Linked DNA regions of Rhinolophus ferrumequinum. The protein of the gene in region 1 purifies or fractionates together with the protein of each later gene. This does not show direct contact. Links are inferred from orthologs where the notes say so. Each region holds a gene or a part of one and is shown on either strand. Other genes may lie near its edges. The genes, in order: HNRNPA1, HNRNPUL2, KHDRBS1 and DHX36.

Region 1 (7,986 bases):
TCTCCCCTAGAGCCTCCAGAGGGGGCTCAACACCTTAATTACAGGCTTCTGGCCTCCAGACTTGTGAGAATCAATTCTGTTGTTTGAAGCCACCAAGTTTGTGGTAAATTTGGTATAGTAGTTACAAGAAATTAATACACAGGGAAAGTAAAATTTTAAAATCCATAAACTGGACATATATAAAACAAATTACTGATCCATAAAGAACTGTGCTTCAAGTGACCCAAGGACTGCCTAAAACCTCTAATCCTCATTTCAAAGAGTAAAATGAGGTAAACACAGGATGCAATTTACCCAAAAAATATTAAATGTTGACAGATCTGAGAAGACAAACTCAGAAAGGTTTAATATTTACGTAGCTGCTAAGAACAGTGTACGTTCCCCCAAAACATGCTAGTTGGTAGAGCTCCTGGGCAGACTAAACATAGGCAACAGTTGTCACTGTGGGTGTTCTGCCAAAACAAGTGTAAAGTTGTCATCAGAAATGAATATGTGGCTTCAAGTGGCTTACAGAAATCCAGCAAATCTGCGTCTTGGACTCTGCACAAGCCAACTCTTCTCAGGATGACCTGGACTCCTTCCCACTAGTACAAATGATCAGCTAAAGCCATCCTCTATAAGGAGGGAAGGAAAATCAAATTTATGTCACAAAAAAAAAAAATTGCTGAGTCCAAGTTCATGTGTAAATAGCAGCCATACTGAGTCAGTCACAAGTGATATCTCACACTATAATTTATTACTTTTAAAATCAATATTCACAGCTTTAGGCCCAATTTCATGTCAAGTGAATGGAAATAAAAATAGACCAAGTAAAAGAACAAAAAAGGAAAGAAATGCTTTACCAGGGGTTGTTACATGGGCTATTCTAATAAGATATATAAATCATGCTATGTGGTTAAATAAAATACCTCAATAAAAGCAAAAAACACTAGCCTTCCTCCCAAACCTTTGTACCCTGGATACCTTTTCTAGAACTACTGTCAGGGCTCTAAAACCACCAAAACTTTCCTAGACATATAAAAACCCAGTCACTTCAGAGGATGTTCTTTCTCTTTTGTTCAACCATCACCCTGCTCACCTACCACCCAGATAGAAGCTTTCTACTGATTGGTTTTCAGTGAAGGTGTGTTATTTTCTCTTTCAGGTTTGGCTGCAATAGTATGCCTCTAAGATCTAAGCACAGGTGCTTGAAATTTAATTTTTGTAACTCAGGCTCAACATTTTGTCGTGTTAACAACCAAACCAGGTTCTACAAAGGCAATGAAAAAAGTCTGAAGTTAGACAACGTGATAGTCTCAGAGTTTCAATGAAAAATTACCCACTAAAATTTACCCACCAGAGAAATGTTCATCATGCCTATTATGACATTTTAAGAGAATTCACAGTAAAACAAGCAATTTTTACTTGCACACCACAATAAACCAAGAACTCTATGTTCAAAGCCTGAAATCTTTCAAATGAAAATATATCAGACATCAAATAAGGGTTCACTGATTAATTTGTTTATAAATCCAAGTAGCTGGGGCCAAAGATGGGAGGAATAATCTCACACAGAGAATAATCTAAGGCGGCATAATTTAGTTACCTATTCTTTAGACCAGTTGTTTTTCTTTTTTCACTAAACTGTGGATCTGTACAGAGCTGTGAAATCAGTTCAGCAGAAAATGACCTGTATTTTTAAAAAAAGGAAATAGTGTACTGTAGATGCAAAAATGTCAAGAGTGCTTTGCACATTTATTTGTACAGTGAAACTTGTTTCAATGTGTGTACAGGGTCAATATAAAATATATTTTTTATTAAGGGTCAACATCTAAAAAGGTTTGAGACATTGATCCAAAAGAATCCCAATAAAGGGCGGCCCGGTGGCTCAGGCGGTTAGAGCTCCATGCTCCTAACTCCAAAGGCTGCCAGTTCGATTCCCACATGGGCCAGTGGGCTCTCAACCACAAGGTTGCCAGTTCAATTCCTCCAGTCCCGCAAGGGACGGTGGGCAGCGCCCCCTGCAACTAAGATTGAACACGGCACCTTGAGCTGAGCTGCCGTTGAGCTCCCGAATGACTCGGTTGGAGTGCATCCTCTCAACCACAAGGTTGCCGGTTCGACTCCCACCAGGGATGGTGGACTGCACCCCCTGCAACTAGCAACAGCAACTGGACCTGGAGCTGAGCTGCGCCCTCCACAACTAAGACTGAAAGGAAACAACTTGAAGCTGAAAGGCACACTCCACAACTAAGATTGAAAGGACAACAACTTGACTTGGAAAAAAAAAAAAAGAAAGTCCTGGAAGTACACACTGTTCCCCATAAAGTCCTGTTCCCCTTCTCCAATAAAATCTAAAAAAAAAAGAAAGAAAAAAAAGAATCCCAATAAAGGAAAGAGGCTTAACTCAGGTGAAAATGTAAGAAGCATCTGAGGCAAGTATATCTTTTTAAAAAAACGTATTTGCCATTATTTTAGAAAGCCAAACAGAAGATGCAATCAAACATGTTTAAATAGTAAACACCTTAATGAAATTTTCCTTCTATCCAATGGAACACTATATCTGAAGAGATAATCATTAGGATTTAGTAATCCATTTACTAAAAACCACCTCCTAAACACATCACCACCCATCTTCTCCCTCTAATTTCCAATTGGTAAAAGATTTTGACAAAATAATCAACTCTAGCATGTCAGTTTAGATCAATGGTTTTCAACTGGGGATTATTTTGCCCAAACACCCAACCCCCAGGACATCTGGCAGTGTCAGGAGACATTTTGATTGTCAAAAATGGGGGTGAGAGGTGAGATGCATTTGCAGGAAATGTCAATAGTGCTGAAGTTAAGAAACCCTGTAGATCAAGACTATTCTTTTCAAACCTATATCCTTTTAATTCTTAAAAATTAAGGAGCCGCATTTTGAGCATACCTACAAATACTTTATAAACAACGTGAAATAGGTTTGTCCTTTGGGAAGTGCCAGAGAACATGGAAATCTCTCTGTTCATATCTCAACTAAAATCACCTTTTATAAGTCAGAAATGTTCTCTAACCATAAGGATACTTCATATGCAATTGAACTCACGGCAGTATTCAAAGATTTTTTTCCCTTGACTCTAAATAAATACATCAGTGAGTAAAGCAGTATATATTCTGATACAGCCAAAATGTAATGAAAATTTCTGTATTTTAGTAAAAATCTTGGAATAAGCAGAATGGGCATTACCAACAGGGAATGGACTGCATCTAAAAATAAACACTTTTAAGGAAATATAATCAAAAGGCAATGAACTAACCCAGGTGATGGATGAGCCCTTCTGTCCCCAACACCCTAAATCAACAGACTTTAATTTTAATCACAAATTATTATTATCCCTGCAAAGATTTAAACATTAGAGATCTAATCTGCCTCAATGCCACTGTATTCCTGGGGGTAACACACTTTGGTCTGTAGCTTTCCAAAACTTTTTCTATGGACTTACAAATATCGAGTTGTATGTGGAAATATGTATTATTACGTAGATATTCCTCAGGCACCTTTTCAAGACAGTACAATCTCTATTTGTTCTAACATTTCAAGTCGGTCTTCCTAAAGAAGCTAGTTCTCAAAGTCAAAAGACCTTCTTCCTTGCTCCCCCCAAAACCTATGGTGGATGGTGGGATGTACTGATGTGTGTGTGTTGGAGGGGGCGGGGGGATGCCCAACTCGACGTACACAGGAGCAAACGTATCGTTTCCATACCAGGGAGGCTTATGCGATGGAGGCCTAAAGGCTTCGTTAGAAAAGTCATAGTGGATAAAATATCCATCCCGAAGCGCCATCACAGGCATTGAATCCCTTTCCTCATCAACACAAATCCAGCACCTCCGTCTTTTGGAGCGCTGATTGGACGACCCGGGAGAGCGCTCTCAGTAGGTTGTCCTCCTACTGGCTCCAGATTTGGTCCATCCATTTTACCGCCCAACTCCCGCATTTCCCATTGGAGTCAAACCGCTGCCTCTTAGAGGAGCCCAACCTACCGCGCGCTTCGTGCTCATTGGCTTAGTGAGACGCTGCTCAGAAGGGGAAAACCCGCCTCCCACATTCCGATGGCCCAAGGACCGATCAGTCGGCAGCTAAAGGCAGACCCAATTGGCCTATACACTCGCCAGTCAAACTCTTAGACGGCAAAGCTCCACAGAACTTACAGGGATAAAACATCCCGCCCCTGTTCTTCCATTGGTTGGCCGGACCCACCGCTCCCCCTCCGCTAGCCCCCACCCCGCGGTCCATTCATTTCACACAATAACGGGCCCATTTGGAGTCGGTTCAAGACCTCGTATGGGTAGGCAAGACTGTCCGCCACTTACCCGGGATCGAGACCGATCACTCACGCTAATGTCTTCCCTGTTCTTCTGTGGTGAGGCCGGACCACAAGCCACAGCTGCCGCCGCCTTCTGCGCAACGCCAACCGCCCGCCAAAACGGATCCTTCCCTGCGCCTGCGCGACCAATCCTGGGACCAGACCTTTTTCTCCGCCCATTACGCCTGCGCAAAACGAGGCACAACTCCCGCCACAACGCAGGCGCTGTAGGTTCGCCGCCGTCTCCCGCCCGCCATTTCACGTGTTCCAAGAGTCAAGCGGAACTTCTTATTGCGCCTGCGTAAACTCGCCATTTTACTACACATGCGCTCAGCAGGCGGTTGTTGCAAACAATAAAATTAATATGCTATTTTTTAATACACTGCATTAATCATAAATTGACAACTGAATAGAATGTAATATTCGGGGCGTGGAGAGCCAAAAAGTTATTCAAATACCTTCAGGATGTTCAAATATGAATGATTGGTTGGCTAGCCAATCACACTAGTCAGGAGTAACATTACACGGGAACCAATGGACTCCAAGGGGTGGAGACTACGTAGAACGCCCAAACGGATGACGTTACACAGCAATGCGGCACCACAGTCCAATAGTAGCAGGAAGCTATTTCAAATATCCAGTCAGAGCTACTCAGGGGCGGAGTCTACCAATGCCGTAAGCGAGGAGGCGGGATAAAACAGCGAGGCCGAAGGTAGGCTGGCAGATACGTTCGTTAGATCACTCCTTTCTGTCGGTGGACGCCGCCGAGTAAGCATCGTTAAAGTCACCCCTCCCGCGGTCGTCATGTCTAAGTCAGAGGTAAGATGCTCTGTCCAACTTAATTTTCTTCCTCGCTCCTTTCTGAGTTGGGTTGGATGCGGCCTGGATTGGTTGTTTGCGCCAGCCCATTCGGCAGTTCTTCGGTCACTGCCAGGGCCTACCCCTCCCGAAGTTCAGGTCGCCATTTTGTCCTCGTCGTCGCCATGAGGCCGCCGTTCTGCAACCCTTAGTTATCACGCCGGGTTTGGTCCTCCTGGTAAAACTCTTAGGCACAGTGAACGATTTTTATCTCGTCTCAGTGGGCGAGTTTTTTTTTTTTTAAGCAGCTGTGGTCCCTTATTGGCGATGCACTCCTCCCGCCCAGACCTTTTGTTGGCGCGTGCGTCGGAGGGATTGTAGGGGCGCATGCGCTCGCCGTTTCCCAGCCCCCAACATAGAGCCTCCCCAATGGGGAGAAGCACGTGGCTTGCTGCGACCCTCTGGAACAATAAGTGCTATGTACGTTGCTGTCTCGTTTCTCTTAATTGGAAGATGTTTTGCGATACAGACCGACATAACGCTTTCCCTCCCCCCCCACTCTTAGTCTCCCAAAGAGCCTGAACAGCTGCGGAAGCTCTTCATCGGAGGTTTGAGCTTTGAAACAACCGATGAGAGTCTGAGGAGCCATTTTGAGCAATGGGGAACGCTCACAGACTGTGTGGTAAGACCTGGAAGAGACAAAAGAGCACTGGAACTAGTTGATTTCATTGGCTTATCTTGTTATACTTACTGTCCGAATGCTTTTGAAGATTGCTAACAGGATTATAGTTGGAAGTAACTTGGCAAGGGAAGGTGAGGCTTTAACTGATTAAGATGTAAATAGATTTGTTAGATGGGTAAGATTAAGTTGAAGGGCTTTGTATGAGGGCTAGTATAAAGTTTCCTGCTACCTTATCCAAGGTAGAAATGACAGTAGTTCTTGGAGTCTTAATATGTGTTAAATGAATTAATATCTCAGGTGATGAGAGACCCAAACACCAAACGCTCCAGAGGCTTTGGGTTTGTCACCTATGCCACTGTGGAGGAGGTGGACGCAGCCATGAATGCAAGGCCACACAAGGTGGATGGAAGAGTTGTGGAACCAAAGAGGGCTGTCTCAAGAGAAGTAAGTGTTTTTTCTTTCCGTTAGTCATATAGAAGTGTGCTACTAGGTGGATGTTACGTTCAGGGATGTTGGCAAACTTTAATACTGATTTTGCTGATGTAAGTCACTTAATTGGATTTTTCCTTTAGGATTCTCAAAGACCTGGTGCCCACTTAACTGTGAAAAAGATTTTTGTCGGTGGTATTAAAGAAGACACTGAAGAGCATCACCTAAGAGATTATTTTGAACAGTATGGGAAAATTGAAGTGATAGAAATCATGACTGACCGAGGCAGTGGCAAGAAGAGAGGCTTTGCTTTTGTAACCTTTGATGACCATGACTCTGTAGACAAGATTGTCAGTGAGTATCAGATGACTGGTATTTACCAAGGGGTTTGAAATCCATATCTTTCTCTAAACCCTGAGAATTGTCCCTTTTCATTGTTGAAATTTTTTAGTTCAGAAATACCATACTGTGAATGGCCACAACTGTGAAGTAAGGAAAGCCCTATCTAAACAAGAGATGGCTAGTGCTTCATCCAGTCAAAGAGGTGGGTTTGTTGCTTTTAGTTAAACCTTAAATAAAGGTAACTGAGCAATTACAATCTGTGGTTTAACACTTATCTCTTCTTAAGGTCGAAGTGGTTCTGGAAACTTCGGTGGTGGTCGAGGAGGTGGCTTTGGTGGGAATGACAACTTTGGTCGTGGAGGAAACTTCAGTGGTCGAGGTACATGTGGTTCTGCTTTATTGGGAATTAAGGGTAAGCTTGTGATGTAATTACCTGCCTGACTTGTGCTTTTTACAACCTGCAGCTCTATGTAACTACTGACTGGCATTTCTAAAGTTACAGTTTTATCCAAATGTAGTTCTGGTTTCTGCTAATCAGAAGTTAAAATCTTTGGTGTGGAAATCATTTTAGTAGTACAGGAACTGCTCCCTGAAGTAGACTTGAAAGGCTATAATTATATGTGATGCACGTACTCCGAACCTGCTTTAAAACTCCACTTTCTTCCAGGTGGCTTTGGAGGCAGTCGTGGAGGAGGAGGATATGGTGGCAGTGGGGATGGCTATAATGGATTTGGTAATGATGGTACGTTTGTGTGGTTTTTGTTTCTTTAGGAATACATGGGTGGAAAGTTTGTGGTAACCTATAGTCTATACTAGGTTAGTAGAGACTAAAACTAGTGCATGACAAGCTGAACTCTGACTATAACAGCATGTGACCAGGCTGTTACCCATTATGCTTAAACAGATTTTGATTGTTGAATACTTTTGTCTTATTGAGAAGAATTGTATTCTTGTAGGTGGTTATGGAGGAGGCGGCCCTGGTTACTCTGGAGGAAGCAGAGGCTATGGAAGTGGTGGACAGGGTTATGGAAACCAGGGCAGTGGCTATGGCGGGAGTGGCAGCTATGACAGCTATAACAACGGAGGAGGCGGAGGCGGCTTTGGCGGTGGTAGTGGTAGGTATCCAGTGATCCAGGTACTTGGTGCAGTAGCTAGATTAGCCTTGTAGAATTTGTGCCCGTATGGGGATTTGGTGCTCTTAAAGCATTATGTGGTACGCTGCATGGTATTTTTTAATGGACTTGCTGTGCTACCTCCTCCTGGCTTTAAGCTGGGGCCGCCTCACTCCCAAATAGATGAATAAATGGATAGTGGCATCTTCAGCTGGAATCAGATTAGCTTCTAGCAGCATTTAGTATCTTTGGGACTTTAGGCACTTAGTTGATGTATCCAGCATGTTTGCAGTGCCCCTGA
Region 2 (7,727 bases), on another chromosome or scaffold:
CCAACCTGTCTGCCTCATACATACACGTGTCCAGGTTCACAAGAGTTTGATCCTCCTCCTCATCTTTTGCCTCTTCTTCGGTGGGTGGTGGAGACTTTGAGCTATACATGAGAGAAAAGCAAATACAATGTAACCAAAGCCCTCTTCTTTGAGGAGTGTCTGCATGACATCACGTCCATTTTTAACTATCAGTGAATATAAAATTCCAGCAGACAGCTTCTTTCAGCAAATGAGAAAAGGGCAACAGGAGCTTCCAGGGTAGATTCAATCTAAAACTTATGCCTATAAAACCCTATTCCATTTTTAATCCACCCCTCTTTGCAGACTCCAATCAACACCAGGTATACCAATATCAGAGCAGACACTCCCTTCAATGAAAGGGACTGTTTCCCTCACCGGCTGTGGTAAGCCTCCTCTCGGAATTCATAGTAAGCTCGGCCATGTTCATCCTTCTCATCCCGCTGTCTCTTTACCCCCCGCCGCTCACCATCTGAGCCTGCTGGTTTTGACTTTTCACTATCTTGGTCATCTCCTACAAAAAGGAGGGAAAGAAAATCAGCAGTTTTTCATACTAGAGTGAAGAATAAGCTCAGAACCAACAGAAACTTAAGGGGATCTGAGTATCTGTCTAATCAGAGTAGCCAAGTTACTCCCACTGCATCCACAGAGTGGTTTATTTTCAAAGATCACCTTCCTGTCATTACCTGGGATTTTTATTAAAAAATAATAAAAAAAGACACTATGGGCTAGTTACAGGCAAGCAGTAGATAAAAATTGGACAATTTTTGCATTCTAAATTTATCTGCTTAAATCAGGTCAAACTTGCAGATTTCCCCACCAATATGACATGAAAAATATATCCCCTAAGTCTTGATTTTTTAAAACTTCACAGGTTAATTTAAATTCTTGATTGTCAGATGAGAATTTAAGCTAGACAGAAAACGTATTTTCCAACACTTCCACAGCTTCATGATACAGAAGCCTCACTTTGTGAATTTCTTTTAAAGAGTTTGCCTTTCCAGCTTTAAAATGCACAGCCATCACGGCTTTACTTATCTAGCAAGTGGATTCAGGTGCATGATACAGAGCTGTATTTTTACTGAAAGTTACAAGAGCAAACCACTAAGTCACAAGAAACCCATAAATAATACTGTAGCTTTACTGCACATAATTTGGGGCAGAAAGGTGTTGTCATATATTTAGCAACATTCTTTACAAGAGAAAAACAAAAGAATTTTTCCTTAGGCTTTTGCAGTTTCCAATACTAAGAAAGTTTTTAATAATAATTTAAAGCAGTCCTTTATCCCTCAACCTTTATTATCTGTTATTTGGGATACACGTTAAGTCAAAGGTTATGTAATGGGATTTTTGTTCCAGGACATAGGACAATCTTCAACTTGCATGTGACTATTGTAGAATGGGTTCCAATTATACTATACTAAGTAGCAGCCTAAAAAATGTATTCTAAAACGAACTAAGGCAACCGACTTCATACATACTAAGACTTGGAAGACACTCTAGTTTTCCAACCCACTCTGACAGATAGTATGGATCACCTCTAACCATCCAATCACTTCAAAGGAAGAGAGAAAGGTCACTAACTCCCCGCGGTGACGCTACACATTCTCTTCCACAAGGTTACTCAATGGGCCCACCAAAACCTCAATCATTTCAATTAAGTTAGTTAGGGACCAGAAATGTAAACGGCTACTTAAGTGTACAGCAAATTTACAAACATGCCCGTCCATCAACTCAGTGGGAAGATTATATTTTAATCCTAAAAATACAAAGTAAACCCCCTAGCCAAGTTCAATGACTTGTTTTAAATGTGCTAGATTAAGGCTTTCTCTTCACTAGTTAACTATTAAACTCGACACCCTCACACCACAGGCTGTCCCCTGCTGCTAAAGCAGGAACAAGGTTAGATTGGCCAGATTCTCTGTGTGGCTCAAACTCTAGCAATGTGCTTCTGATGGAGCGAACTTTGACGAATTGTTTATTGCTTAATATTTTTACGGCGAAAAAGTCAACAGTCAGGTAGCCTCCAACAGTCGGTCTGGCTGTCCGTGGAATCGCCAATTCGTTAACGCATTCTCATTCTCGATTTGGGAAAAAATAACCAGCACCGCGGGAGGCTGCTCCACAGGTAGCTCAAAGGCAGTTCGCATGCAAAACGGCTCACTTCCATCCACTACCACCAACGAACCGAGTTAAGCAAGAACCTCCCTCCTGCAGAGAGTGAGGCCACCAGAGGCGGCCAAACCTCCTAGAAAGGGGATAGAGAATGGAAGTCCCGTCCCCTGGGGTGTCCCATCAAATGCCGATGGGAATCAGGCACTTTCAGGCAAGTGATCAGAAGGGATCGGCCCCTGGGGTGCAGGGCTGGGTGCTGGGACAGGGGCGCACCCGGCATGCTGGAGTCGGGCTCCGCTGCCAGCTCCTCACCCTGTTCCTCTGCGGCCTTGTCACCCGGCGCCTCGGATCCCGGCGTCTCGTCCCCGCTCCGCTCCTCCGGCTCCTCTTCCTCCCCCTTGCCGGTGCCCTGCTCTTCGCCACCATTTACCCCACCTGACTCGGCCGTGGCCTCCTCCGCCGGCTTCTCGGAAGCATCCGGCTCGCCCGCGGCCTCCATAGCTGCCGCCTCCGGGGGCTCTGGCGGCGGCTGCGCGGCCTGGCCCGAGGCCTGGGCAGGGGGTGGCTCTTCGTCCTCGTCCTCAAGCAGCGCCTCCTCGTCCTCCTCCTCCTCTTCGTCGTCCTCCTCGTCCGCACCCGGGCCGCCGCCCGACGCGGCCACAGGCCGAGGCTCCGCCTTGCAGGCCCCGCCGGGCCCGGCCCCGCCACCGCCGGCCTCGTCCTCGAGCATCTCGGCGTCCAGCGCCTCCTGCAGCCGCTGCGCCAGATCCACCTTGAGGCCGCGTGAGTCCAGGCCCCGCCGCTGCAGCTCCGACCGCAGCTCGGTCACTTTCAGCCGCTTCACCTCCATCGCAGCCGCCGCCTCCTCCGCCTCCCGCCGCCTCCTCCCCTGCGAACCGTCGACCGAGCCCAACCGCGCAGGCGCCGCCGCCGCCCGCCTCCGCTTCACGCGCCAGCACTGAGCCCGCGCGAGCGAGCGCACGCACGGACGCACGCAAGCAACAAGGACTGCGCGCAGCCTCCGCTACGTCGTGTTTGGTTCTCCCTCCAGCTCCTTTTCCCTTTTAGGCCCGAGGACCCCAAAACCACGCACTAGGGTAATATTTCCCCTCTTGCTCCCTCGGTCCCCTTGCCGCTGGCGGGCGCGCGCCGAGGACGACGGACTTCCCTCCCTTTAACCTCCCACCCCTTCTTACCCTCTGGGCCAATCGCCGCCGGTAGTTTCACCGCGCAGCCGCGCCGGAGCCGGAGACGGGGAAGGCTGGCTGCGGCTCAAGTGCCTCGTAGCACGGAGGCGTGTGCGCACCCGTTTTTTCGTACTTCCAGTCGGGGACTGCGCAGCCGCCCGGAGCTCCCTTCCCACACGCCCCTTCAGTCCAGTTACCACCCTCACTCCCGTCTGACCGGATCGCGCTGTCGTCTTGGGGTTTGCTCACTAGTCCCTTTCCTCTACTGTCTCTACGTACAGCAGCTTGTTGAGAGTCAGAAAAAAATAAGAGCCAGGAAGGAAGCTGTTGCAACGTGAAAGCCTACTAGTAATTGTCTTTCTGCTTGGTAAGCCAAAGGGCTCTCCAAAACCAAGGAATACCGTAACCACTTGGCCCCCATCCCTTAACTTCTACCCAGCAACAGACGCCCTGACCTCGCCGTTTAGCTCTCTTATTGGCCAACTTGAATCGTCATCTGCAATTCTGATTGGTCATCCATGATCGTCCGTTTCCAATTGGCGAAGCTGCCAGGGGATTTTTTTTAATTTTTTTTCTGTGTTGGTCCGCAGGGGAGGCTGCAGAGGCGAGGTCGTTTTGCGGGATTACTTTTCTGGGGTCGTTTCTGATTGGATGCCGTGGCGCAATGCGCGCGACCCTTGAAACAACAAACTGTCAGGAGACCGGATCCTGTCATTTGGATGCTCCGGCCGGTAAACCGAAGCCCAGGGGAAGATTTCCGGGCTTGGGCATTTGCAAGAGGGGCTGGCCGCGGGGCTTGGAGGACTTGCAGCTGAGCTGCTCTGCGGTTGGGTCAGTCTCGGCCTGTGGGTTGTGGTGCACGGGTCACATTCACCTCGGCTCCCCAGCTCCTGGTACAGACGTCAACTATTGCTGGTTGAATATGTGCGAATAAAGAACTCGGATGGAGTCAAGCCTTTTAGACTATTGTTAGCCGTTGTCCCCGCCTACTTCCTTTCACTTCCAGGTCAGGGAGGTGTGTCTAAAAGTAAGGAGGAAGTAAATTCGCCGGCGTTCGCATGCCTCCCCCAATTCCTTAGTGCGGCCTTTGCTTTTTCAGGGTCTCTTCACCCCGAATCATCTCTTTGGAAAATCACTTAATCTCTGGCTTTACTATTGCCACATCCTCTCCCTGATTATTTTCCTGCACTTCTAGAGATTGAAAAATACTGCAGAGGAGCGGGAGGAGCTGTAGTGAAAAGCAAAACTCCTTCCCTGGAGGGCCTCCTGGAGAAGGGTAATTTCCTCCCTACTTAAATCGGCTATCAAAATCAGTAATTTTGCTTCCATCTCCAGAGCTTCAGTTGTTTTTCCCCAATTCCTCAAGAGAACTGAGCGACAGAGTTATGGAGAAGCGCCTGCACGAGGCTCAGCTGTACAAGGAGAAAGGGAACCAGTGTTACCGGGAAGGGAAGTACCGAGATGCCGTGAGTAGGTACCATCGAGCTCTGCTTCAGCTGCGGGGTCTGGATCCAAGTCTGCCCTCCCCGATACCTAATCTAGGACCTCAGGGCCCAGCTCTCACACCTGAACAAGAAAACATACTGCACACCATCCAGACAGACTGCTACAACAATCTAGCTGGTAAGAACAGGCCTGAAGGGTGGGTAGAGTATACAGGCAGGCACATGAAAATCTGACCATTGGGAAAAAACACTGACGTGCTTTTCTGCTGTCATCTAATTCTGCTATGAATTGAAATAATTTCCAATCTATATGGCACTAATTGAGTTTCTGTCGGGCGGCAGTCTCACATTTCATCTGGAGAGTTTGTTAAACACACCTCCTGAGCTCCACCCCCAGAGATTCTGATTTAATGGGCCTGAGGTAGTGCCCACGATCTGAGGGACTCCCAGGTGATGCTGATACGTTTAGGGAATTGTGCGCGCTATAGAGAAAGTACTGAACTTACCCTCATGATGTTGTTTCTTTAGTATTTAAAAAACAGGAAAGAAGGCACATGCTTCAGCTGATGTAAGTCATCCATATTAGATGTTTTTGATAGCTTTTCCTCATTTTCCTCCTTATAAATCAGCTAGATGGTATCTTGGATAAGTATCTTCAATCTCCAGATGGCCTTAATGGATGTTAAGACTATCTCTAGGATTAATCTGCCAGGAGAAAGATTAATTCTTAGGTCTGTTCTATGGCAGCAAAAATAACCATAGAGCTAATTATTTTGAAGTATATTAAAACGTTCTAATGGGCCAAGTTGAAGCCCTAGAAATTATTAGGAGTGGTTTTTACACTTTGTAATGGTTGTTTAAAAGTGATTTTTTTTTTTTTACTATAATACTCATCAGCTGTGGTGTGGCAAAAATCTAGCTTCTCTCCCCGTTCTTTTGCCCCCGCCTCCCACTCCAGTTCAAGGCGTTGTTTCTAAGTACAGTTATGTAGGACACAGCTCCCTGGCCTATGCTGGTATTATGAGCCTTCTACTCCTCCGCTGAGGCAGTAGGTCGCTGGTCCTGCCATTCACGCTGACAGCCGGCCACTCACGATGGCCACTGGCCGCGTGGCAGCACACAGCAGCCCACCGCAGCTCTTGCCAACCTCTGGCTGCTCAGGGCAGCCCAGCTCCAGGGAGAGCTGTTGTTCACAATCTCAGCTGTAGAGGGCGCAGCTCACTGGCCCATGTGGGAATTGAACCCCTGACCTCGGTGTTAGGAGCACTGCTCTTCAACCACCTGAGCCCCCTAGGCTGGCCCTAAAATCTAGCTTTTTTACAGTGTGTGTATAGTACTACTCTTAGACTCAAGTAACAATAATAATTATAATAGTTAAAGTTTTATTTGAACAATTATTTATTAGCTGCTGAGGATCCCCGCTCATGGAACGTGTATTCGAGTAAGGGAGATGGACAATTAACATCAACAAGAATAACATATATAGATGTTAGAAGGTGATAAGTACCTTCTAAAAGAAAGCAAGCAGAAAATGCGGATAGTGACTGCTACCGGCATGGGAGCGTTCACTTTTAAAGAGAGCGGTCAGGGAGGGCTCATTGAGGTGACATCTACAAAATGCCATGGGCAGACACTGTTTAAGCCCTTTACACGTATTAACCTATTTAAGTGTCATAAAAATCATTTGAGGTAAATTTAAGGAAACAGCTAGTAAGCGATAGAACTAAAATTAAACCTGGGCAATTCTTAACTCCAGAATTCTTATTGCAGAATACTGCACACTATTAGAGAATAGGATATGTATTAAAGAACTGACTAGAAGTCAAGGAAATGAGATGCTGTAGAGATGGGTACCTGTCAATGTCTTGACTGCAGGTGGACTGGAAGGCAGAGACCATGGCTCAGCCACCTATCTGTAAAGCCTCTGCTTGTGGGTGGTTGGTAGATGCTCCCTAAAGACTCACTGAATTAAAAGTTTTCACTTACTGCCTGCCAATTAACATGGTGAGAATTTATTTACAATATCTCATTTCTCAAAAATTCTGGAAGGAAGTTAGGGTTATCCCCATTGTACAGAGAAGGAAGCCAGATCGTGTCACTACCTAAAACCTTCTAATGGCATCTCATCACACTTAGGAAAAAATCCCAACTCTGACCGTTATCTGCAGGGCTGGACAGGATCTGGATTCTCCATACACTGACTTTGTAAAGTACATTTCCACCTTCCAGCAGCTCTGTACGATCTCTTCTGTCAGGTTAGAATGCCTTATCCCTTGAATGACCCTTGTCATTCAGATCTTGGCTCAGAAGTCATTTTCTTAGAGAGGCCTTCAGTAACCAAACTGCACTCTGACCTCATTCACTATCCCAGGACAGTTCTGTTTTTCTCAAAGCACTTTTGAAAACTTCATTTATTTGTTTATTGTGTATTCCTACTACTTGGGAACTAGCTCTTTACTCATCAAGATGTTTGTTTTGTTCCTCTTAAACCCCTGCTCCCGCTCTGCCTCGCATGTGCTCATTACTCCATAACTAGTTGTTGAATGGATGAATCTACAGCAATGGATTAAGTGACCACCAATCTGGGGAAACATCTAAATATAAACCATATGACCACTTGGTGGGGATGTTGCAGAAGGAATGCAAACATCAGCCTAGGCCCTTCAATAACTCATCAGCCTTCGTTCTCGGTTCTCAGCACCACGATGTGATAATACTGGGTTTAATTCCCACAATTATGAAATAGGGAACCATTTCCCTTCTTAATTATACAAAGACAGAACATTGGCCTGAACGTTGTCTCCTGAACAGATTTGTATTTTGAGATGCCATTCAGTCATCCAAGGGAATGGTGAAGTAATAGAGAATCATAATAGAGAATGAGGATGATTTTGGAATTAGAGAGTCCTTGGTTCAGATTTCTTACTCATTCCACCTACAAGCTGTGGGATCTTGGACAACT
Region 3 (7,140 bases), on another chromosome or scaffold:
TAGTTATGCTTTTTGCTAATTTTGTTACTTTAGGCAATTTAATCTTTGTATGAATGGTTCCCCCATCTGTAAAAGCGAGAATAAGAGTAACTTCCTCATAAGTTTTGTCGTAAAGACTAAATATTTGATGTAAAGTGCTCAGACCACTGCCTAGCACAGTGTGAGTTAGCTGTATTTTTCTCACACGTCTCCTTATCAGAGCTTAAATACTACTATTCTGTCTTCTCTGGGAGTCGGTTGACTTCACTACAATCTCTCTTCCAGATCATTAAAAAATACCTTAAACGTAGGGCCCAATATATATCAAGATTTATTCATGCTGAGAAATTTCCACAGATCTCAAGTCTGTTCTCTCAATAAGCCAACATTACTTTAATCTCATTTCTCCAATTAAAATTTCATTTTAGTTTAAAAAAAAAGACAAAAAAGCCCAAGGTAAAAAAAATTAAAGAGCATTCTCTTGCAACAGAATTTAAGCAGTGAGAGAGGGTGAAAATTATAAATAACTTTAAAGGATCACTAGTTTTTGATGGTTATCCCAAGAAATCACCTTTTACTTAAAAGATGAATACCATACTGGGTACTTGGTGTGGTCAGAAAGGCAAAAAATATGTTGTATTTTCATACCATATTTAGTACCACAGATTTATCACTTGTGGTGACAAGTTATTATCTAATGATTATAGGTCGAAGGGAACTGTGCTAGTGCTTTTACACATCATTTAATCCTCACAACTCACCACTCCACTTTACAGTTGAGGTCACTGAGGTTCAGGAAGTTTCCCAAGTCAAGGGTCAGAATTTCAAGCCTAAGCCAAGACTTTAAAAGTCCTAAAGTTTGTTATTTTATCTCACAAATTTAACCTGGACTAATTAAAGACTTGAGGAAATAAAAATTAGACTACCAAGTCAACCTTTACTACTCGGACATTCCTAAATCTGCTTTCAAATTCAAGCACCTGGGGTTTGCTACATGTAAGACAATAGAAAAATATAAAGATAAAAAGCATTCCTTGCTCTCAAAAACCTTGCCAGAATACATGAACAGTAATGCTTCAAACAATCCATTACAGAACAGCAAAGCACTGAGTTCATAATGTAAACACTTTATCTAACTGTGCTTATTCTTGACCACTGAGTGCTTTATGCTTTTAAAGACCCCTTAGCAATGTTGGGAGATAGAGAACAAAGGGAGCGAAGTATTCTCATAAGGATCTGCCTGTTACATTAACCTTGTCAAAAAGTCCAGTTAGTCACTCATTCAGTGTTGAAGGCTGTGAATTTGTACTTATTAAAATTTAGGTATCATATAAGAACTACTTATTAAAACAACGTTTCAACTAGAAGTGAGGGCAAAACAGACGGCTTTAGGGAGAAATCAGAGCGACTAGGTGATTGGCTAGTGCAGAGCAGAAAAGGAGCAGCGACACAGAACAAAGACTATACTATTCCTAATCTATTTCACTACTGAAGCAAAAAGAAAAAAAAACACAAAGAAAAAGGCTTTCAGGTACAAGCATCGTGCAACTTCCTCAATTTTTGTCCATTTCGTTGGGGAATGTCATGCAAACCACCCGTTCCTCCCTCTTCCCAGTTTCACTGTCTCTAGGGTTATTTTTCCCCTTCTTGAATGATGGTGAACACAAGTTGTAAAATAAGAGGGTCCGTGCTTATTCTTGACCACTTCCAGCTCTGCAGCAATGATTATTTTAGGTGCAAGTCGGAAATACGATTCGGATAACCTCAAGCGTCGATTCCCACCGGTTGCTCCTACCTCGGAGCAACTTAAGCTCCAGTTACCGCTAAGTCTGACCCGGCCCTAGCAACCGCGGCGCGCTGGACAGGGCACTCCAGCCTCACCCCATCTCACCTCCGCCCGCCCTCCCACGGCCCCCCCTCGCTCAGGCTGTCTTCACCTCCTACACCCTCAGTTGAGGCGCCTACCGCCACCCGCAGACGAAAAAGCTTTCCCTTTCGGGGGCAGGGGGAGATAAAGGTTCATTTCTGGAAGAATCTGAGCACTCGGAGCGTGGGGCAGCTGCAAGAGGTGGGAGGGGGATCACAAAGGGGGCGGGAGCGCAGCACTATCCATCAACATCTTTGCACTCAGAGATCGCCAAGTGCCTTTCGGGCCTCCACTGCAGCCTAGACGTTCTCCCTCGCACCCAGGGCCGGGATGGGAATGTGCAATCCAGACTACCGAAGATGAGAATGAGGAAACGAGAAGGGGAGTTCATGACTGCTTTGGTCCCGAGGGGGCGGGAAGAGAGAAGAACAAAGCCGCTGCCACCCATGCTCCCGGGTGGCCGGGCGACCCAGAAGGACTCGGGAGGCCCGCTTACCTGCCGTCAGCAATTGCATGGCGTGAGTGAAGGACGGGTCGAGCGAGTCCTTCTCGGCCATGAGTTCGGGCAGGTACTTGTTCTCCGGCTCCATTTTAACGGAGGCAGTGGCTGAGGGGGGCAGCAGCGGGGTCGGAGCCGGACCGCCCACTGTCGTGTCGGGACCCGTGGCCGAGGGCGGCAGCAGCGGTGGCGGCTGCGTGGCGGGCGAGGCCCGGGCGGTCCCCCGGGATCCCCCTCCGCCTCCCCGGGACCGATGAGGCAGCGGCGGCTGCCGAGACGGCGCCTGACGTACTGAAGGGTGGGCACCCGAGGGGTCCATGGAGCCGCTGCGGCCCGAGGACCGGCTCATGCGCGCGGCGGGGTCGTCCCGGCGCTGCATTGGGGAGGATGTGCGATCGAAGGATCGAGGAAGCGACGCGGCAGCGGCAGAGGCCCGAGTGGCGGTTGGCGGGGGTAGGAGAGCAGGAGCGACGGCGACCGAAGCCGACCCGAGCGACCCAGCGAAAGAGCACCGGAAATGAGGCGTCGCGCGTGCGCAGCCAGTCTCCGGCACCGCCCTTGGGTCTCTCCGCGAAGAACAAAGTCCCCAATCGGGCCACGGCGCCTGCGCACCGGCGAGGAACCCGAAGATGTCGCCTCCCTGCTCCTCTTTTCCCTCGGAGCCCGCCAGGCCAAAGCCTTGTGCGCTTGCGCGGGTGGCGGCGGGCAGCATTCGTTTTCTCTACCACGTGACTGGGCGCTAGCGGGACACGTGTCTCCTCCCCCTTCGGGCCGAGTGCGCGGTGGGGGCGGGGGCTGTGGAATGTCTTTGTCTGCGCGCGGACCCGCGGAGTGTGGGGCGGGAGACCTGTTACTGGCGGGGCCACGCCCCCTCTAACGGCTCAGCAGTAGAGGGGGGTTGTGCTCAATGAGGTGGGAGGGGTTATTGAAGTAGGGGAATAAAAGGAGACCGGCGGGAGAGACGCGAGGTTGCGGGTGGCGTGGGTTAGAGGAGAAAATTGAGGCTGGCTGGGCCTGGGAAGAGAGGAGGAAGAGACAGGGCAGAGGGGAGGCTGGGGTGAAGAAGGAACGACTAAGGGAGAGTCTGACGCAGGGCTGAAGGGTGCAGATGAGAAAGGAAAGCTTGGAGGGAAAAATTGAGGAAGGACTCGGCAGTGGGAAGACTGAAGGCTGTTGGAGGACTTGAACTAAGATTCTTCCGCAAAAAGTGGGCTAGAGGCCAGGTCCATAATCCATGATGGTTGCATCATTAGGGTGGCTCCTTCTACTGATGTGAGTGGTAAGCCTCCTGCCTCTTTTTGGGCCCTTCACACTGGATTCTTCCAGACCTGTTCAAAGAGATCCTTACCACTGCTCTCAAGGCCAAGGTGTATAGTGGACAGTCTGCCAACGCATTCTCCTCATTCTGGTGCCTTCTTTAACCTTTCCTTCCTTTCACAGATATTTGCTTCTCCCTTTCTAAGCACTCCCATCCCTTTTCCTTCTGGATCAGTTTCCCAGAATAAGCCAACGCTTTTCAGGAGCATTTCTGGAAATTATCTTCTGGGTGCCTGGAAACTTTTGATTTTGGGATCTGAAACTTTGAAGCCTTCAACAAGAGAACATTAAGGCCTGGCAACCTTGTGAGTGGGGGAGAGAAACCACCCACAGAAATGAGAACAAAACACAAATATCTTCACAAATTATCACATATATAGATATATTTCTGGTGTCAGGTGCAGTACTTTGAGGTCACAAACGTAGTTTATATTCAAGTAGGAGGAAAAAAAGAATGTTTTAAATAATTGTAATGAAAAATTGTAATGTGACAAATGCCAAGAGATAAGTGAATATTAAGTACGATTGGAGTTCAAAGCACAAGATAGATTTTGGCCAGAGGAGAATGAGTTCCAGGCAAAGGGAAGCGTGAACAAATGAGCAGAGATGAGAATGTCAGAGACGCATTTAAGGAATGGGAGTAATCGAGTTGTGAACTGTGAAGAAATAGTGGGGGGAGACATCAAATGCATGGAGGAGGGAAAGGGGGCAAGGAGGATTTATAGCTCCCTTGCAACTCATTTCTGCTGCTGTCCTTGAACATTCTGCTTGGGTGATGGTGTTACAAATGGCTGAAGTGTCCTTGTTGTGTAATGAGATGCCCAGATGGAGGAGGTACCTTGAGCTGAGGCTAATAAAACTTTGATAAGGAAGTGTCTGAGAAGGAGCTGGGTAGTGGTATCTGTGGGTTTCTAGACGGAATCAACATTCTTACCAGATGGCTGCCAAATCTTACTTTCTCTGAGGGTGGGGTTGAAGGGAGCTTTGAGCTCTTCTTCAGGGTGAGATGCACAAAAGGTAATTTCTGAAACGATGATTGTGTGCCCACAGTGTACTTATTACCAAGTACGTGGTGCAGCAGCCTTCCATTGTGGGGGGACCGGTGGAGGGAATGGTACAGGAACCCTTCCTTAGGAATTGGGAAGAGTAATTCCTGTCCTGAAAGCCTAGAGGTCTGCAGTTCATTTTCTGTGGACCATGGTATGCTGTCTGAGGTTCTCCTGAAGGTATTAACAATATGGCCTTGAGAAAAGACTGACTTTGGAGTAAGACGGACGATTTCAAATGTAGTGTTGCCTTGTTTTGGCTGTGTGTCATTGAGAAAACCATAACCTGTCTGAGCTGTAGTTTCCTTCTCTATAAAATGGAGGTAATGACATCTACCTTGCAGAATTGTGAACATTAACAAATATCAGTGTAAACCTCCCAATAGTAGGGCTTATAAGCAGAAGTAATAATAATTACTATGTTATTTAGTGCCTAGTGAAGAGTTTTGGGTGCTCATGCTGGCTGTGGATTTGCAAGGCCTGCTCTCTAATCTCTTGTTTTCACAGGCTGTAGCTATACTTTGTTTTGGAGCAGGGAGGTTCCAAAAAGACTAAGTTACTTATACCCTATTTCCTCACATAGTCCAGTTACTATGGCAGAGGGTGCAGGAGCAATTGAGAGCATAGTGATTCAGATGGAGTTAGGGCCAAAGCTGGCTCTTCCTCTTACATGCTGAATGATCGAGCACTTAACTTAATCTTTCTCAGCCTCTCCTTCCTTCTCTTCGGTAAAACGGGTCAGAATAGCCACCTCAGGGCTGTTCGGATTAAAGGAGGGAGCATCTGTAAAGTACTCGGCACAGGGTCTGGCAATTAGTAGGTAATTGATAAGCGATAGAGGCCATTGTTATTACTACACACATTTATCTATCGAGTACCTTATTGCAGACTTTCACTTTCACGTGAGTTCCTAACTGATGGGCTGAAAAGAATGGAGGTTTGCCTGACCTGTGTGATCTCCACAGATGGGGGATCTGCAGGCCCTACCTACCTCCCCAGCTTCACAGCCAGTTCCCAGGAGAAGAAGGGCTCCAGCCCTGGGCAGGAGAGTTTCTCTTCCGAGAATGTAGCTCCTCTGTTCAATCTTAAATACCTACTTGGTGCCAAATATATGGAGGGTGGAGAAGTAGACAGGGAGATCAAGATTCAACATTTTAAAGTGTTTTTCTAAGATTTTTTCGTTATAGAAATACATACTTCTAGCTTTACGAAAAATCCAACCATAATAAAGGCAGAAAGTGACAAGTAAAAGTCCCCCCAAAACCTTGCACATTCACTTGACTGCCCTTCCTTAAAGATACCCACTATTCAGTGGTTGCTTGTGTAGGCTACCAGACACATCTATATGCAAGTGTGTCTTTTTTGTTCTAAACACAAACTGCAGCATTCTATACCAACAGTTTTTGATTTGTTTTTAAATAAAATATTCTGGCTACCTTTCCTTGTCAGTATATAAGTTTATTTCTTTTTTTTCCTCATGGTCGTGTAGTATTTCATTGCGCGCTTTTAACCAGTTCCCGTCTGATATAAATATAGGTTGATTCCAGCTTTTCCGTATTGCAAACCGTACTGCAATGAGCACCACTGCACAGAACATCTCTGTGCATAATATCAATATAGGATAATTCCTAGAAATGACACAAAAAGACTGCGCCAAGCAGCAAGGTAGGCAGCATCTTCTTTTCCCACCTCCTCAATCAATTCTGGGTACTGTCTTCCCATCTTTTTAGTCTTCACCAATATGATAGCTGAAACGGCATGGGATTGAACATTGAATAAGAATCTATGCCCTCAAGGAGTTCATTGTTTAATGAAGGAGACAAATACATAAACCAAGAGTGACCATGTAGTACTGTGAAAAGTTTTATAATCAAGCACTATACAAATTGCTGTGGGAATACACAGGAAGGAGTGACGGACCAACTCCTGATCTGAATTTGGAAAGTAGTTAAGTGGGGTACAGGGGCAGGGCATTTAAATATTGAAAGTTCAGCGGAGCTTTGTCCCCTAATATTCCCTCCTCTAATAGGTTCATGGCTTTGGAATTTAAATCTGTAGCCCAATCTTCCGAGTTCCAAATCCAGATAGCCAAGTGCATCCCTGACCGCTCTATTTGGATGTCTCAGAAGACCCTCAAACTCAGCATGTCCCCAGTAGAACTCAAACTGCAGCCACTAGCAGTGCTGCTTCAGGGCCCAGATGACTTACGTAGCTCGGGGCTTGGGAGAAGCTCCTCTTTTCGGACCCAGGCCTGTTCCAGCACCTTGAGAGCATCAGGGCCAGCAAAACTTAAGGAGGCATTCACTTTCAGGGCCATTCTCCTTGCTTGCTGCACTCTAGTCCCAAGCTGCTCTTAGCATTCCCACCCTTTGGCAGGAGCCATGGGCAGGGACAGAAGGGATTGGAGCAGGGCTGGTGTGCCCAGTGACTTG
Region 4 (7,110 bases), on another chromosome or scaffold:
GGTTTTTATTTCCACCATTCCACTGAACGGGCTCTCATCAAGGTTACCAATGACACTGTCGCTAAATCCAATAGACTGTTGCTCTACCTGTGTGACATCTGCAGTGTTTGCCACCCTTGATCACTTTCTCTTTTTTACAGACATTTTCCCCCCTTAAACAAAACTCCTGGATTCCAAAACAACACCCATCTCCTTACTTTCTTCTTCTCTGGCTGCTCCTTCCGAGATCCTTTCACGAGCCTCTCTCCCTCAGCCTGCCCATTACATTCTCCTGTGCTGCACTGGCCAGCCCGAGGATCTGCAGAGCAGCAGCACTGACACCACTGGGACTCTGGTAGAAAAGTACCATCTCTGACCCCAGCCCACTTCTACCTTCTAACAAGACACCAACTGGTTCCTATGCACATTCAAGTTGGAGAAGCAAAGGTACACAGAATTCAGGCCTGCACTGTCCAAGGACTAGCCATAGGGCCACAAACTGCCAGATGTTCACCTGCAGACTAGACTTCGCAAGGCATCAGATCCAGACGTGGCTTTCTACCTCCCTCAAATCATCTTTTGCACGTCCTACAACAATGTCAAACTCAGTCCTTAGCTGAGTCCATCCTCTTCCTCCATCACCTCTGCTCCTTATAAAGTCATAAGTGTCATTTCCCCTTCCCTCCAAAGAAAATCATTCTGAGTCTAGCTCTTAAGTCACTTTAATCTGTCCACCTCCCTCCTTCTCCACTGCCAATGTCTTAATTCAAGCCCTCATTTCTCACTTTAATTACTGGAAGGGCTACTTAACTAGTCTCCCTGTCCCAGGATTGTCTCTTCTCAATCCATTCTCTATACTACCAGAGAATGGATTTAAACACAATCCCTTTTTTTTCCCCTTAAAATGCTTTAATGGCTTGCTGGAGTTCTTAGGGAAAACTCAATCAATTTCAAAGCCCTTGTATTTCTAGCCCAGGGCTTTTCATATTGCCAGTTGTAAAATCAAAGGATCATGACCAGTATTAATAAAAAAGAGCAGAAAGGTACAAAATAACAACAAAACCCAGAACAATGTACAGGTAATTAAGTATTACTTTATGAAACTTTTTTTTCAGTTATAAATACCTGTGCACTGGGTTGCAATTTAAACTATATTCCTTTTTGTGGAAAGCATCAACAAGTTTGAAAGCCACTGCTTTCAAGATAAGCACATAGAGGGAAACCTGTTATGTTGAAGCTAGATTACCAAGATTCCTGGACAACAGGTTAGGATGTCCTGAAATGTATTATCAGATTGAGACAGAAGTGACCTGGCCTCTAATCTCAAATTGTGATAAATAAATGGTAGTGACATTTACTAAAATGGAGCAAGTTTGGGGAGGAGTTGGAAAGCAAGTTTCATTCACAATGATCCATCGCACAACTGATTTCAGATGGAAATAATATGAACAATTATTCCTCATTCATTTAACTTTTCATCTGTTTAGGTCTTTTATTTCCCAACTAGATTGTAAGCCCCTTGAACATCATAATTCTTCAGATCCCCACAGCAACGTGCATAAAACCTTGTGTGAAATGGGCAAATAAAATTTGATGGAGTCTTAGAAAGTTACTGTGTACATCCTTTTATAGTAATCACTCAATTATCTTCTAATTTCAAAATGACTTAGATGTGCTCCCCTTAATTAAAAAATAAAGTTTGCTTAATGAACAAGTTAATTTTGGTTGCCAAAGAAGCCTGCTGGTTTTTCTTGAAGAGAATATCTTAAGTTGTGAAGATGAATGGGTAACGCTCAAAAACATTTCAATAAAAACGACATGAATTAAAGAAAAATAAAAAATTATTTAAAAACAAAAGCCTAAATGGTGATTTAATTACACTCTGTACCAAATATAAAGGGTGCTTTTAAAGAAGTCACTAAAAAGCTGTTCTAAGACTTATGTAAAGAAAGCTTCTGTTTAATTATGTATCTATTAGAATAGGCCACTCAGGAAACTTCAATCTTTACTACAAATCTTCAAGCTAGGAACCAATCACCATCCTGAAAAGACAGTCCTGAGCCAAACCATCTCCTGAAACTTCCACTTTCTTCTAGGATCCTAAGTTTCCTTCTCAAAGAGGAGCTGCTAAGAAGCTGAAACCTCCCCAACTCAACACGAAAACAAAAGGCCTGGGTTTGTGGCTGTTTTAATACTAAAAATGAAAGCTGGACTATTCTTCGTTTGAACGATGTGCATTCAAAACAGTGCTCGGGCAGCTTTTGTTCCCTGCAAACCTTTATCTATTGTAGGGGGGTCGCTATTTTGGAGTTCCTCACGCAAAAATCTTAAACAAAAGTGACCATAATTATTCTAAGGGAAAGGGCCGCCAGAGGTACTATGACAGCGACACGCGAATAATGTTAATTTCGGTCGGAACCTGAAATTAACATTTCTTTTGTCCCCAGTTCTCACGTCCTTTACGCAAAGTATCCATTCAGCCCACAGAAAGTTGTCTGCTTCGCATGGCTAAGGGTAAGCCATACGACATTCGCTACAGAAAGCTTCAGTATACCGTTGCACTTCATACTGCGCTTCACAAATCACATATACCAGTTAAGAAACCAAGTTAAAAAAACAAAAAAAAAAAAGAAAAAGTTAGGGGCGCGGTGAGACGGAAAGGAAAACCTGTCCTGCCTCATGCACTATCGCATCTCAGATTACCTCCTGCCTCTCCGCTTCCTTGTTCTTCTGTCCCTGTTTCTTCGCGTACCACAAGCCGATTTCGCGGCCTTTCAGGTGCCCGGGATGTCGGCCTCTGCCGCCTCGACCACCACCTCCTCCGCCGCCGCCGCCGCTGCCGCCGGAGCCCCGATTCCCTCCATGGCCCCTCCCATGGCTTCCTCCATAGCCCACGCCGGAGCTGCGGGGCCCACCATCGCGGCCCCAGTTCTGATGGTAGTCATCGCTCATTGTCCCCGAGGACCACAGCGCGTGAGGTCTCGCAACCGCGGCAAATGGCGACCGGGCCCGGAAGCGGGTGCACGTCCACTCTCACTTTGCTTCCGGCGCCCAGCGCGAGAAGGAGGGCCCTGGAGCGTCACAAGCACCCATTTCCGGTGACGTCACGGGTAGACAGCCGTGGACGTCGAGAGGGTGTTGAGGTGCAGTCCTGTTGGATGTTCCCTCAGTCGTTTTCCGACGTGCATCTGGAGGGAGAGCAAGCTAAAGGCTCGTCGGTTTACTTTTCTCACTCTCAACATGTGAGGAAGCGGGTTTTATTTTGTTACCTTGTGGTAAACTCTGGAGTTTGCGTCCAAGTAGGCCCAGGATACTAAGCATAGGTTGACATAAAACCGTGGGAGGATGCATTCTCTTCTAAAAACCCTCTGAAGAACTGAAATGAGTTCATCATATCTTTTTTCTTTTCCTAGTCCTATATCTTGGAAAAAGCCTGGCACCTGTTTCAAATACCAATTGTCCCTGCCTCTTTTAAAAGGTTATTATTTACTACCTTTATCCAATAGCATAAGATGAGCATGTCCAACCAAAATTCAGTGCAGAGCAATTAGGCAATTTAAATAAAACATCAGTTGAAGATTCCTATTTTTGTATGAAGCCATCTATTGTTGATTGACCAGGCTACTGAGTGTCTAGCACAAGCTGTTCTTGAATAATCAAGTCTCTGGGCCACACAGGCTTGGATAGTCACTGGGGGATAACCAGTTTATTTCCACATTTAACTGATTTAAAGGTGTTGGGGATGCTCACTGAATAAGATAAGTACGACATCAGCTTTCATTTGCTTACAGTGTAGAGTAGAAGATAAAGACTAAAGAAATCAGTGTGCAGTGAGTTAAAACAGGAAAATGCTGTATGCTGTAAAAAAGACTGGCATTAAATATATATATATATATATATATATACACACACACATATGGTCAGACAGTTAAGTTGGTGAACTCATCCTAGAAAAAGTGCTACATACCTTATTGCTGAATATCACTACGATCACCTTTGAAGTACTCCTGGAAAGCTATGCACCCACGCCAGAACCTAGTCCACCTTTCAAAGCAATTTTGGAACTCTTTATCTGGAATGGCCATCAGAGTTGTTGTCGTATTACCTTTGATGTCCTGATGTCATCAAAATATCTTCCTTTCAATATTTTCTTTCTCTTTGGGTGAAGGAAGAAGTCACTGGGGGCCAGATCACGTGAGTAGGGAGGGTGTTCCAATACAGTTATTTGTTTACTGGCTAAAAACTCCCTCACAGACAGTGCCGTGTGAGCTGATGCATTGTCGTGATGCAAGAGCCATGAATTGTTGACAAAAAGTTCAGGTCGTCTAACTTTTTCATGCAGCCTTTTCAGCACTTCCAAATAGTCAACTTGGTTAACTGTTTATCTAGTTGGTACAAATTCATAATGAATAATCCCTCTGATATCAAAAAAGATTAGCAACATCATTGCAACAGGTTCATGAACCTAATTGTCGGAACTCATATATATATTTTGAGAGAAGCATTTGATTTCCTGAAATCACATATCTGCCTAAAAGCAGAGCCTCCCCAAAGAACTCAATGTCATATATCCCTTCCCTGTGGGAATAACCAGAGAAGATTGACTTTTACCACTGGAGACTAGAAGTCAGCACCACACCTAAACAGACATTGTCACAAAACTAGATCATATCTCCCATTTATTCTCACCAGAGCCCAATTATCTTTCCTAAATATCTTTTTTTTTTCCATAAATGCCTTTTCCCTCTTTTCCTCCCTCTGTTAAAATGGCACATCAGCCCCAAGTTCTAACTGCCTTCTTGAGTCACATTTTTCTGTGAACTTTCTTAGGTGTGTGACTAAATCTGTCTTTTCTCTTGGTTATCTGTCTTTTGTCAGTTTAATTTGCAGGCTCCCAAAAGCTAAACCTAGGAGGTAGAGGAAAAGTTTTTTCTTCCCCAACAACCATGAGATGTTGCAGCAAAAAGAATCTAGTTTTGAAGTCAGATGAGTCCTTTCTAAAGAAAGAGAAGTTAAGTAGTGACTTTTGAGCTACGTAGACTTTAACCAGACTGATGGGAAGGGGTGAGATTATTACAGGTGGAGGGGAAAATGTGTGAGAAGAGATGATGAAACATTGAAGAGTGAGAAAACTACACTGAAACTTAAAGACTGATGGAAAAGGCCAAAGAGGTAGGAAGTAGCCTGATCATGGAGGACCTTATATGACACATAAAGAACAAGAGTTCACTTTAAGTGGTGGAGTGATTACTTTGGCTGCTTTGCATAGAAAAGAATAGAGGAGACAAGAGTAGGTGTAGGGGAGGCAATGTGGGGTGACAAAGCAAGATGGGACATGGGAAGGACTGGAATTAAGAGATATTAGGAGATTAAATTATTAAGACTTGGTGATTCATTGAATGTGGAGAATGAGAGGAAAGATGACTTTCAAATTTAAGATTTGAAAGACTATCAAATGAAGAGATACCATATCCTGAGATGAGGAACATAGCATGAGGAGAATTTTTTTTGGTTGGGTGGGGGGACGGTTGAGTTAATGTGTTTAATTAATGCATGTAGAGTTTGAGAAACCTATGAAACATACAAATTGAGATATCCAGAAAGCAGTTGGTTATGTGAGTTAAAAGAGCAGAGAGAGCAGACAGAGGTTATACATTTTGGGAGTTCTTGGCAATTATTAAGACCATAGGATTGAATAGTTCCAATTGAAGTATCTATTGGGCACACAAGATGCAACAAGTTGTCAATTGTTCAATAGGTAAGATTACGTAGGCATGTTGGAGATAGTGTGGACTGTTAGGTGAGAAAGTGTTATGGACTGAATGTGTCCCCTCAAAATTTATGTGTTGAAGTCCTAATGCCCAGTGTGACTGTATTTGGAGAGGTGGCCTTTAAGGAAGTAATTAAATTAAATCATAAAGGTGGGACCCCGATCCATTAGGATTAGTGTCCTTGTAAGAAAAGTGACCAAAGAGCTTGCTCTCTCTTTCCTCAGGAGAAAGGTCCCAGGAGCACAAAGAGGCTGTCTCCAAGGCTGGAAGAGAGCTCTCCCAGGAACCGAAGCAGCTGGCACCTTGATCTCAGATCTCCCAGCCTCCAAAACTATGAGAAATAATTGTCTGCTGTTTATGTCACTGAGGCTAAACCTGTGGTATTTTGTTATGGCGGATTGAGCACACTAATGCAGAAAGTAAGTGGAGGAGAGAATTAGGCTTATTTGTTGCTCAGCGTTTGCAACAAACGCTAGGTGATTCACATTAGTGATCAGAATAATGACCCCCAGAGATGGCCACATCCTAATTCCTAGAACCTGTGAATGTGTTACAGTGCATGGCCAAGGCAAATTAAGGTTCCTAATCAGCTGACCTTAAAACGGGGCTGTTACCCTGGATTATCTGAATGAGCTTTATGTAATTATAAGCGTCCTTCAAAGTGGAAGAGGGAGGCAGAAGAGAAGTTCATAGTGATGAGATATGAGAACTCAACCAACTGTTGCTGGTTTTGAAGATGAAGGAAGGGGGCTATAAACCGAGGAATGCAGATAGCCTCTAGAACTGAAAAAGGAGATGGATTCTCCCCTAGAGCCTCCAGAAAGAAATACCTTGCCAACGCCAGTGAGAACCCTTGTCAAAATGTCTACGCTACATAGATGGAAGGTAGGAAATCTGTGTTATGTCTCTGAGTTTGTGGTAATTTATTGTGGCAGCAATAGAAAAGTAATAACACTTCGTATTTCATACAATCCTCATGAAAACCGTGGACATAGAGGTAGTTTTATTTCTATTTTCTGATAAATTATATTATTTCTCTTCATCTCATGTTTGTTGATCCTAAGCAGAATCTTGGTTATAAATTTAAAATTACTATTTTTTTCTGATGTCTTCAGCATGAAGTAGTGTGATATTGATTGAGACTATTGCTTTAGGCAGACACTTAGAGTAAATGTCATTGTAGTAAAAATCTGCACAAAAGGGAGATTTTCAAGGAAAGACCAGAAAGATATTGGTCAGAAGAAAAGTATCATTTGTTACTTGGGTTTTTTTTTTTGTTTCTTTCTTTGGGGTTTTTGTTGTTGTCGTCGTTGTTTTTCCTGCCTTGGTTGGGACCACAACAATTTTTAGGTTGCCTAAT

What was found.
Region 2: the proteins of HNRNPA1 (region 1) and HNRNPUL2 purify together in Homo sapiens (affinity purification with mass spectrometry; 3 studies listed by BioGRID and IntAct, with this or other methods). This does not show direct contact. The link is inferred for Rhinolophus ferrumequinum from reciprocal best matches to the Homo sapiens genes HNRNPA1 and HNRNPUL2.
Region 3: the proteins of HNRNPA1 (region 1) and KHDRBS1 purify together in Homo sapiens (co-immunoprecipitation; 4 studies listed by BioGRID and IntAct, with this or other methods). This does not show direct contact. The link is inferred for Rhinolophus ferrumequinum from reciprocal best matches to the Homo sapiens genes HNRNPA1 and KHDRBS1.
Region 4: the proteins of HNRNPA1 (region 1) and DHX36 purify together in Homo sapiens (affinity purification with mass spectrometry; 3 studies listed by BioGRID and IntAct, with this or other methods). This does not show direct contact. The link is inferred for Rhinolophus ferrumequinum from reciprocal best matches to the Homo sapiens genes HNRNPA1 and DHX36.

Annotation. Positions count from the first base shown.
Region 1 is NC_046293.1:54,024,374-54,032,359, forward strand, and holds the start of HNRNPA1 (heterogeneous nuclear ribonucleoprotein A1), read left to right. Parts: upstream 1-4,983; 5' UTR 4,984-5,126; coding exon 5,127-5,141; intron 5,142-5,685; coding exon 5,686-5,802; intron 5,803-6,099; coding exon 6,100-6,246; intron 6,247-6,374; coding exon 6,375-6,585; intron 6,586-6,682; coding exon 6,683-6,775; intron 6,776-6,859; coding exon 6,860-6,952; intron 6,953-7,240; coding exon 7,241-7,315; intron 7,316-7,529; coding exon 7,530-7,688; intron 7,689-7,986. UniProt on the Homo sapiens protein: Involved in the packaging of pre-mRNA into hnRNP particles, transport of poly(A) mRNA from the nucleus to the cytoplasm and modulation of splice site selection.
Region 2 is NC_046294.1:8,086,660-8,094,386, reverse strand, and holds the start of HNRNPUL2 (heterogeneous nuclear ribonucleoprotein U-like protein 2), read right to left. Parts: upstream 3,018-7,727; 5' UTR 2,984-3,017; coding exon 2,446-2,983; intron 533-2,445; coding exon 397-532; intron 102-396; coding exon 25-101; intron 1-24. Other genes in the region: TTC9C (tetratricopeptide repeat protein 9C), read left to right, coding at 3,985-4,051, 4,656-4,943.
Region 3 is NC_046292.1:21,975,706-21,982,845, reverse strand, and holds the start of KHDRBS1 (KH domain-containing, RNA-binding, signal transduction-associated protein 1), read right to left. Parts: upstream 3,016-7,140; 5' UTR 2,725-3,015; coding exon 2,343-2,724; intron 1-2,342. UniProt on the Homo sapiens protein: Recruited and tyrosine phosphorylated by several receptor systems, for example the T-cell, leptin and insulin receptors. Once phosphorylated, functions as an adapter protein in signal transduction cascades by binding to SH2 and SH3 domain-containing proteins.
Region 4 is NC_046285.1:84,132,448-84,139,557, reverse strand, and holds the start of DHX36 (ATP-dependent DNA/RNA helicase DHX36), read right to left. Parts: upstream 3,006-7,110; 5' UTR 2,932-3,005; coding exon 2,683-2,931; intron 1-2,682.